Linked DNA regions of Arabidopsis thaliana. The protein of the gene in region 2 interacts with the protein of the main gene of each other region in a pairwise test. Each region holds a gene or a part of one and is shown on either strand. Other genes may lie near its edges.

The links. Proteins that work in one complex are often made in the same cells at the same time.
Region 1: the proteins of HB30 (region 2) and RVE2 interact in binary tests that used the Arabidopsis thaliana proteins (3 or more experiments, as listed by UniProt).

Annotation. Positions count from the first base shown.
Region 1 is NC_003076.8:14,750,780-14,754,589, forward strand, and holds RVE2 (Homeodomain-like superfamily protein), read right to left. Parts: upstream 2,310-3,810; 5' UTR 2,194-2,309; coding exon 2,182-2,193; intron 1,722-2,181; coding exon 1,659-1,721; intron 1,570-1,658; coding exon 1,458-1,569; intron 1,327-1,457; coding exon 1,265-1,326; intron 1,180-1,264; coding exon 565-1,179; downstream 1-564. Other genes in the region: AT5G37250 (RING/U-box superfamily protein), read left to right, coding at 1-192. UniProt on the Arabidopsis thaliana protein: Positive regulator for cold-responsive gene expression and cold tolerance. Part of a regulatory feedback loop that controls a subset of the circadian outputs and modulates the central oscillator. Negatively self-regulates its own expression.
Region 2 is NC_003076.8:4,936,941-4,940,823, forward strand, and holds HB30 (homeobox protein 30), read right to left. Parts: upstream 2,268-3,883; 5' UTR 1,750-2,267; coding exon 934-1,749; 3' UTR 525-933; downstream 1-524. UniProt on the Arabidopsis thaliana protein: Putative transcription factor.

The sequences.
Region 1 (3,810 bases), 9.8 Mb from region 2:
GGAGATGAAGAAGAAACCACTTGTTCGATTTGTTTGGAGGACTTTTCGGAGAGTCATGATGATAACATCATTCTGTTACCTGACTGTTTCCATTTGTTCCATCAAAATTGTATCTTTGAGTGGCTTAAGCGTCAGAGGTCGTGTCCTTTGTGTCGACGAGTACCGTACGAGGAAGATCTTGAAACAGAGTGAAACCGTCACAGAGACTTGAAGCTAGTCTTAGGGTTTATGATGCATTACTTGTTTCTATGTTTCAAACATTTGCTTTTGATGTATTTTTTGTAAACCTAATCTTTTTTGTTAATCCTTTCGAATGAAATGCTTGATAGAGACTACTATTATGTACAACAATTTAGAGTTATCAAGAAGATTTGATTGATCAAATAAAAATGTTTAAGTACAAGGATCTCAATTTCTAACTGGTTATATGGAAAGACACGAAACTTTGGAGTGATCTTACGAATCTAATCCAAAAAAACTTTCCCTAATACTCTGACATTATACACATAATCTGATGTTGAGATCAAAAGAGTTTACACAACTGACTTGACACAAACGAACACTTCACCACAAAGGATATGATAATTTTACATTGTCAATGTTTTCTTCCACCTTTACTCTCTTTTTGTAAGGCATGAACCCTCTCATGTTGTTCATCTCAGTCACCGACGATTTTAACTGAGAGAAAGCTGATCTCTCACTTCTTTTGAACTCCGACACTACCACTTCTGTTTCAGCGTTTTCTGAAGTAGAAGAAGAACATTGAAGAGACTGTGTTTCTGAGTATAGCTTCTTCTTGCCATCTTCAGAATCATCACAACTCATTGAAGAGTTGTAATCACCAACTACAAAAGTTTTTCCAAAGAGCTTAAGGCTCTGTTTGGTCTCTGCTTCTAGAGACAATGATTCCTCTGTGTGAGATGATAACTCAGCTGAAGAAGAGTTAGGTGAATTTGAACCAATGGAACCTAATCCATCTGAGCCATGAGCTGATAAAACCGATGTTGGAGATCGGTTATCTTCATCCTGAATCAGCTTGGATCCGGTTAGTTCAGCGTATACCATCTCTTTTGCATCAGGAATCACAAGCTTTCTAGGGTAAGGATGCATCGGCTTTCTCTTTGGCCTTGGAGGCGGGATCTCAATGGACTCAGAGCTAACACCAAAATCGCGAGCAACCTAATAAGAAAAACTTGAATTAGACCTTGCTTAACACGAAGAGGTTGAAACTTTTTCATGTATAAGGGTCTGCAAGAAGGCAAACCTTAGTAAAGAACTTCTGCGCATGGCTTCGAATCTGAACTGCAGTTTTTGTTCCAACATGTTCTGTTCCATAGAAGAACCAACAAAAGTCAGATCTCTACTCATTACTAGGGTCCAAGTAGTTTTCTTATATCTTCATCAAACTTAGATTAGAATGTGCATTAGACTCTCTAAAGTCAGATAAGCACACACACCTTCGATTCGTCTCCAAGCTCTGCCATAGAGTTTCAATGCTTCTACAAACTTCTCATGCTCTGCTTCTGTCCATTTCTCTCTTTGTTTAGTGATGGTATAAGGCTTTCTTGTCTATAAACAAAACAAACCCTAAATTAACCTCATATTTAAGTTCAAAACCAATCAAGAGTAAACAAGAGATTAAGAAACAAAATTAGTACCTTGAGGTAAAAGGCATCTGAGGAAGATATAAGTTCATCAGAACATAAACTCTCACAACGTTCCTATAATCACAAAGTAAGAAAACACAATTAGTCTCTTAATATATTGTAAGAGTAATTAAATGTTACAAAGAGTCTAATAAAACTAATTAATACGCAACTAGAAGAGGTAGACCACCAGTAATAATTAGGGGATTAGAGACATGTTCTTACCTAATACGGATCAATACATTAAGAAAGAAGTAATCTCTCTTTAAAACAACCGACCATAATATCCCACATAATCGCCTGGTCTATTAACACAATTTTTAACCTGCCACAATCGAATAATCTTCAGTTCCAAGTTCTCTCAGACAAAGAGATTAAACTTGAAATTAGATAACAAAATAACCTATTTTCTCTCGGACATAAACCTAAGTTTAGGTTAAATCTGTCTGGATTCCACAAGACTTGAAACATAACAACAGTAACAAAACCAAGATCAAGATTGCATAAAGAATAACAAAGAAGATAGATCTCAAACCTGCATAGCCATGGTTGCAGAAGAAGAAGAAGAAGACTTGAAGATTTAAGATCTGAAATCTGAAGCTGAAGAAGAAGAATAAAGAGAGAGAGAATTGTTTTGAGATTGGTGAGAGAGTTGTTGTTTATGAAAGGAGCAGAGTCAAGGGGTTACTTTAAAAGAGCAAGAAGAAGATAAGCCACGTAAGCATAATGTTTTTCTTTTTATAAAAATTTGGGTGAAAAAGCGTAAAGAGGGGTTTCGAGAAACTAGTATCATGTGGCTCAGGTTAAAAGATGCTAATGACACGTGGAGGATTTCTTCTTCGCTTTCACTTTTGTCTTTGCGGAGAAGATATTATCTGTTCTTTGTTAAATCTTGTCGGAGATTTTTAATTGTTTAATTTATCTACTAGAAAGTTTTTTTAAAGAAGCTCATTTCATGATTATTGCCAAACTCGCGACTGGTGAGCGCGTGTCTTGTTTAACAACGTTGTTTACTTCTTACCCCATTTTGTTGTTTTTTATTAATCAAGTTGATTGCATATTTAATTTTAGGTTTAGGTACAGTATTTAATTGAAGTTGAGAAATACAGTTCCATAAAATAAGATTAAACAATTATATTATTTATTAGTAATATAATCACTATTTTTGTTTTATTAGAATTAACAATTAAATAAGATCTCACTAAATAGATCTAATCATATCATATTGACATGAGAATATATTAAATGAATATATTATTAAATTGTTTTCAACAATTTAGCGATTTGAGTTGACACACTTTATCTATTGATAATTCTAATTCATATAATGTTATAGAACATATTCTTATTCATAACAAATTTCAACAATTAATGCTATTTGTGGAACATTGAAAAATATGTGATATATTTGGAAACAAAATTTGTTTTTGTGCTAAGAATTACCCACTAAAATTTGGATTTTGGAATATTATTTTTTCTTCCTGATCATATAATTAAACAATTTCACTCATTTTATTCGTACTATGTATATTTGCATCATCAAACTGATGAATAGTAAAAACCTGAAAATATATTACATACTAAGATCTCAAAATTTGAATATAAAATACTAAAATGCATCAACTTAGAAGATGATCAATTGAAAATAAGTTTAATATCATATGACATGTTTATCAAAATAAATATATAAGTTAGTTTAGATAAAACATAATATGCAATTTGAATACTAGAGTAACAATAATATGCAATTTGAATGTTTATGACCCAACAAGTATTGAATAAAGACAATGTTGAATCACACCTAGCAAATTGTTTATAATTCAAGACCGTTTTTTCATTTATCTTTTATATTAATTTTGTTTATTCTTTTCTATAAGAATTTGGCCTACTTTGTTTCTACTATATATAACATAATCTTTAATTTCTATAATCTCAACTAGACGGTGTGTCAAAGTTCTAGTACCATTCCACTAGTTAGAGCTCATAGTACCCGAGAATGATGAGTATAGTTGGTGATGATATATGATTTTGAAAAGATTATATGAGAAACAATAGCTAGAGAAAGAGCCCTTGATACCTTTCTGAGTATGTCCATATTCAAATTATTAGAAGTAATAACATATGATTGAGTATGTTGTACAATTACATACAATATATCAAAATT
Region 2 (3,883 bases):
TGTTTTCATGTTTTTGAGTTATCTACATATACATTTTTGCAGCCACTATATGAAATAAATCTTCAAGTTGAGACTTATTTACAGTGGTTGTCACTGGCATTTAATAATTATTTTTGATAATTAGAAAGTAAATTTTCGAATTAAATATTTGACATTTAACTATCTTCTCAAAATCTCTCTACAATAACTACACGATTAGTTACTAAAATAAAACTTCTAAAATATTTAACATCATTTAAAAATTACAAAATTATCATTTTTGATATTGCTTTTTTTGCATGACTATAACAATTCCATTATACGCATCAACCCACATAGATATTTTATAGCAGTTAATTATTACAAAATTACAAAATATTTAGACAATGATTTATAAACATATCATAAATAAGATCAACATTAATAAAATAAATAGTTTTTTTTACTTAATAACAATTGTAAACTATAAAATAAAAATATTTTATAGATAGATACAATTTGTAAACTTTTATATATACTAACTTAAAAAAAAAAAAATTGTCCTTGCGGTATACCGCGGGTTAAAAATCTAGTAATGTCACATAATTGCAACAAATTCCCTCATTTCTTTCATAAATTTCTATATAAAGAAAAAAAGTAAAAATAAAAAAGCAAACTGATATAGAATTTAGAAAACAATTGGATTAATTGACTTTGTTATTCGGTTTTAGGAGGTTACTCATTTATCTTTCTTCTCACATTTGGTCGAAAGATACAACTCAAATCACCTCTCTAACAAAGATAAACTACTAACAAGAGTACAAACTACAAGACATAACAAAACAAAGTGGAATAGAAAAAAGATTTTGACCCGTTGACTAAAAATAAAAAATCTTCAAAACACAGAGAAGAAAAACCAAAAAAGAATTAGCCTCTAAAACGACGACGCTTTTTCAACGCTTTCCATTCTTTTCCTCACGTCGAAGAAAACGACCCATTTGTCGGAACAACACTCTGACGACTATCTCCTACTCCTCCTACTACTACTCCGCCGTTAGCTCTTCTAGCGCCGCTGCGTCCTGAAATCTTGTTGTTATGCATCCACACTTTGAAAACGCTTTTATCAACTCCAATCTCCCGACAAAACTCCTTAACCACCACGTCATCAGCTTTCGGCATCCTCCACCCAACTCTCTCCGAGAACTCGAACATCTTCTCCTTCTGATACTGACTAAACTTCGTCCTAAAACGTTTCCTAGACATTGGAACCGCCGTGTTAGCTCCTCCTCTTCCTCCAGAGAGTGCGAGAAGCATGTAAGAAGACGAGATCGGCGGTGGAGAAGCTGAATCATCGTCGTCTGGACTACGAATCCCCGCCAGATGAGGAGGAGGCGGTGGAGGAAGCTGGTGACGGTTGTGAGGTCGAAATTCGATCGCAGGGACGATGGCAGAGAGAGAAGATGGATCCTCCTCACGGCGGTGGAAGTTACGGTGGCAACCACAAGCAGCGCACGTTAGTGAAGCGGGGTCATTGGAGTTAAACGACGGTGACGGCATAAACTCGCCGCATCCGTCTAAAGCGTGACCGCCGATACCTGCTGCGTGATTCTTTAGACATTCTTTATAAGTCGCAACCGCAACCGCTTCAGATGCAAGATGATGGTGGTGGCAGCGTTTGCCGTTTGAGAAAGAAATAGGCTTCGCGGGCTGGATCCGGATCGGAGCTTCGATTTCGGGTTGTCGTGAATCCAAGTCGGATACTATAGTAGTTGTAGTAGCTATTACATCCATGACAACTCAAAACATTTAGGGTTTCGAAAAACAAGAAGAAGAAATGTTTTGTAAACTTGGGTTTTGGTTATTGTAATACAAATAAGATTTAAGAAACAAGAAGTATTATAATTTTCTAGAGATGGAGGAAGAAGAAGAATAGATGATAGAAGTAAAGATAAGGTAAAGATTGCACTAAACAAAACTGTTTTTAAATTGTAAACTCGAAATCTTTGGGATGGGTTTATGTATTTGGGAGAGATAAGATTAGAAAAGGGGAAATTTAAAACTATGTATTATTTACTCAAGTCTCTCATGGAGGAAGAAAGAGATGAGAAGTTGAAGACTGTTGATAATGAGAAATCCAAGTTGTGTGGTTGAGATTCATAATCATTATGTGTTTTTTTTTTTTTGGTTGAATATTTTTTTTTAACCATGGTTTGTTGACCCCATCTAGGGTTAATGAAAAAAGATAAGTGTAATAAATATAGGCTAATAAATAGAGTTCATAGAACAGCATCTAATGTGAGTCATGTCTTTTTCTTTTTGCTAAATTTGTATCTCCATGACGTTGACAACTTTAATAATATATACTCCAATTTTATATCAATATTAATCTTTTTTGCTACCTTTCAAATTTCAATTATTATTATTTCTCGTTATTTTTTTTTATTTTTTTTTCTCCTTATTTAAGCTGAAAATTTCGTGTGGAAGTAAAGCATGAATATAATTAAGGTTGATTCGGGTTGTTGATTCAATGATGTTAACTAAAGACAAAAGTTAATATTTCGTATTGTTGATCAAAAGCAATGTTTATCCAAAAATGTTAAAATCTCGACCTTCCCTAGTTTTATAGTTCATGGTTTGTCTTCAATCTTATGTCGAAAAAACTATCAACTTACAATCTTAAAAGTTACTCTACTACCAAATTTTTGCAAAAAAAACTATGACTAGCTTAATTTATTTACTTCTCAACTACTCCACTAATTAACTCAAAAATGTTTATTGACTATACATGTTGACGGTTAAAGTGGCCTTAAGAAAAGGAGACCACAACTAAAAAAGCTGACACGAGCAGTGGTGAAGAACGATGCCGTTTACTCCAAACTTCTTTAAAGCTGTATAAAAAAGTCTTTAATCAGAGAGGTGTAGACCAAACCTAAGATCGTTTGCAAATCCATTACTAATAATAAGTGATAAACTAACAATTCAAAGCAAAAACTCCATAAATAATTGATAGTATACCAATTTTTTTAGGAGATTTGCTAAAATATGACCGATAAATTTTATCAAAAAATTCAGACAAATTTTATGGAAGTTTTAATTTTGATGCTCTAAATCCAACGGTTGAATTCTCCGTCAAAATTTTGAATTTTAACGGGTTTCTAAAATGTCGTCTGTTTTCTTATAGTAGTAACGTAATTGTAAATCTCAACTCTTAAAACTTTTTCTTTCTTTTGACTAATGATGATATGAAATTGTCTAAATACCAAAAACAGCTAACACGCGTACATATCTTGCAACATGGCGCTACCTAATCAAACCATGTTCGTCTGTTATGGAAGACAATTCTCTTCTTCTCAAATACATTGAACTTTAACATTATACTTTAATTAATGTAGGTATATATTACGACTTGCACGACTTACCATAGCCAAAATAGGGAACCACCGTATCAACATTTCAAGCATTTAGATATAACTTGATTGTTGATTGGTCTTATTGTTACCGCACTACGATTATCTATAGATTTCATAGACAACAAAATAATATAACACATATATTATTGTTTTAGAAATAGTTATAAGGCTTTTTACTCTTTAGTTAGGAAGAATAAGGCAAACCGACATTAAATAAGCTTTATGCCCATAACAAGGATAATATTAATTAGTTTTTTTTTTTCAGGATATATTATCTGACGCAATTATTTGATGATCTATCTGTGATTTTTTCTTTCTTTCTAAAATCTATTATATGTTATGCCTGTATATGTTTTATATATACACATATCCTACTTTATGTATGTGTGCAAATGCAATTGGAAGGATTTATCATATACGATGAATGTATCGCATGGGTGGTTAGTATGCATTAATATGGACTGTTCTTAAGATTTGTGAATAAAGAAAAAAACAATGACATCTTCTTCTTCCTT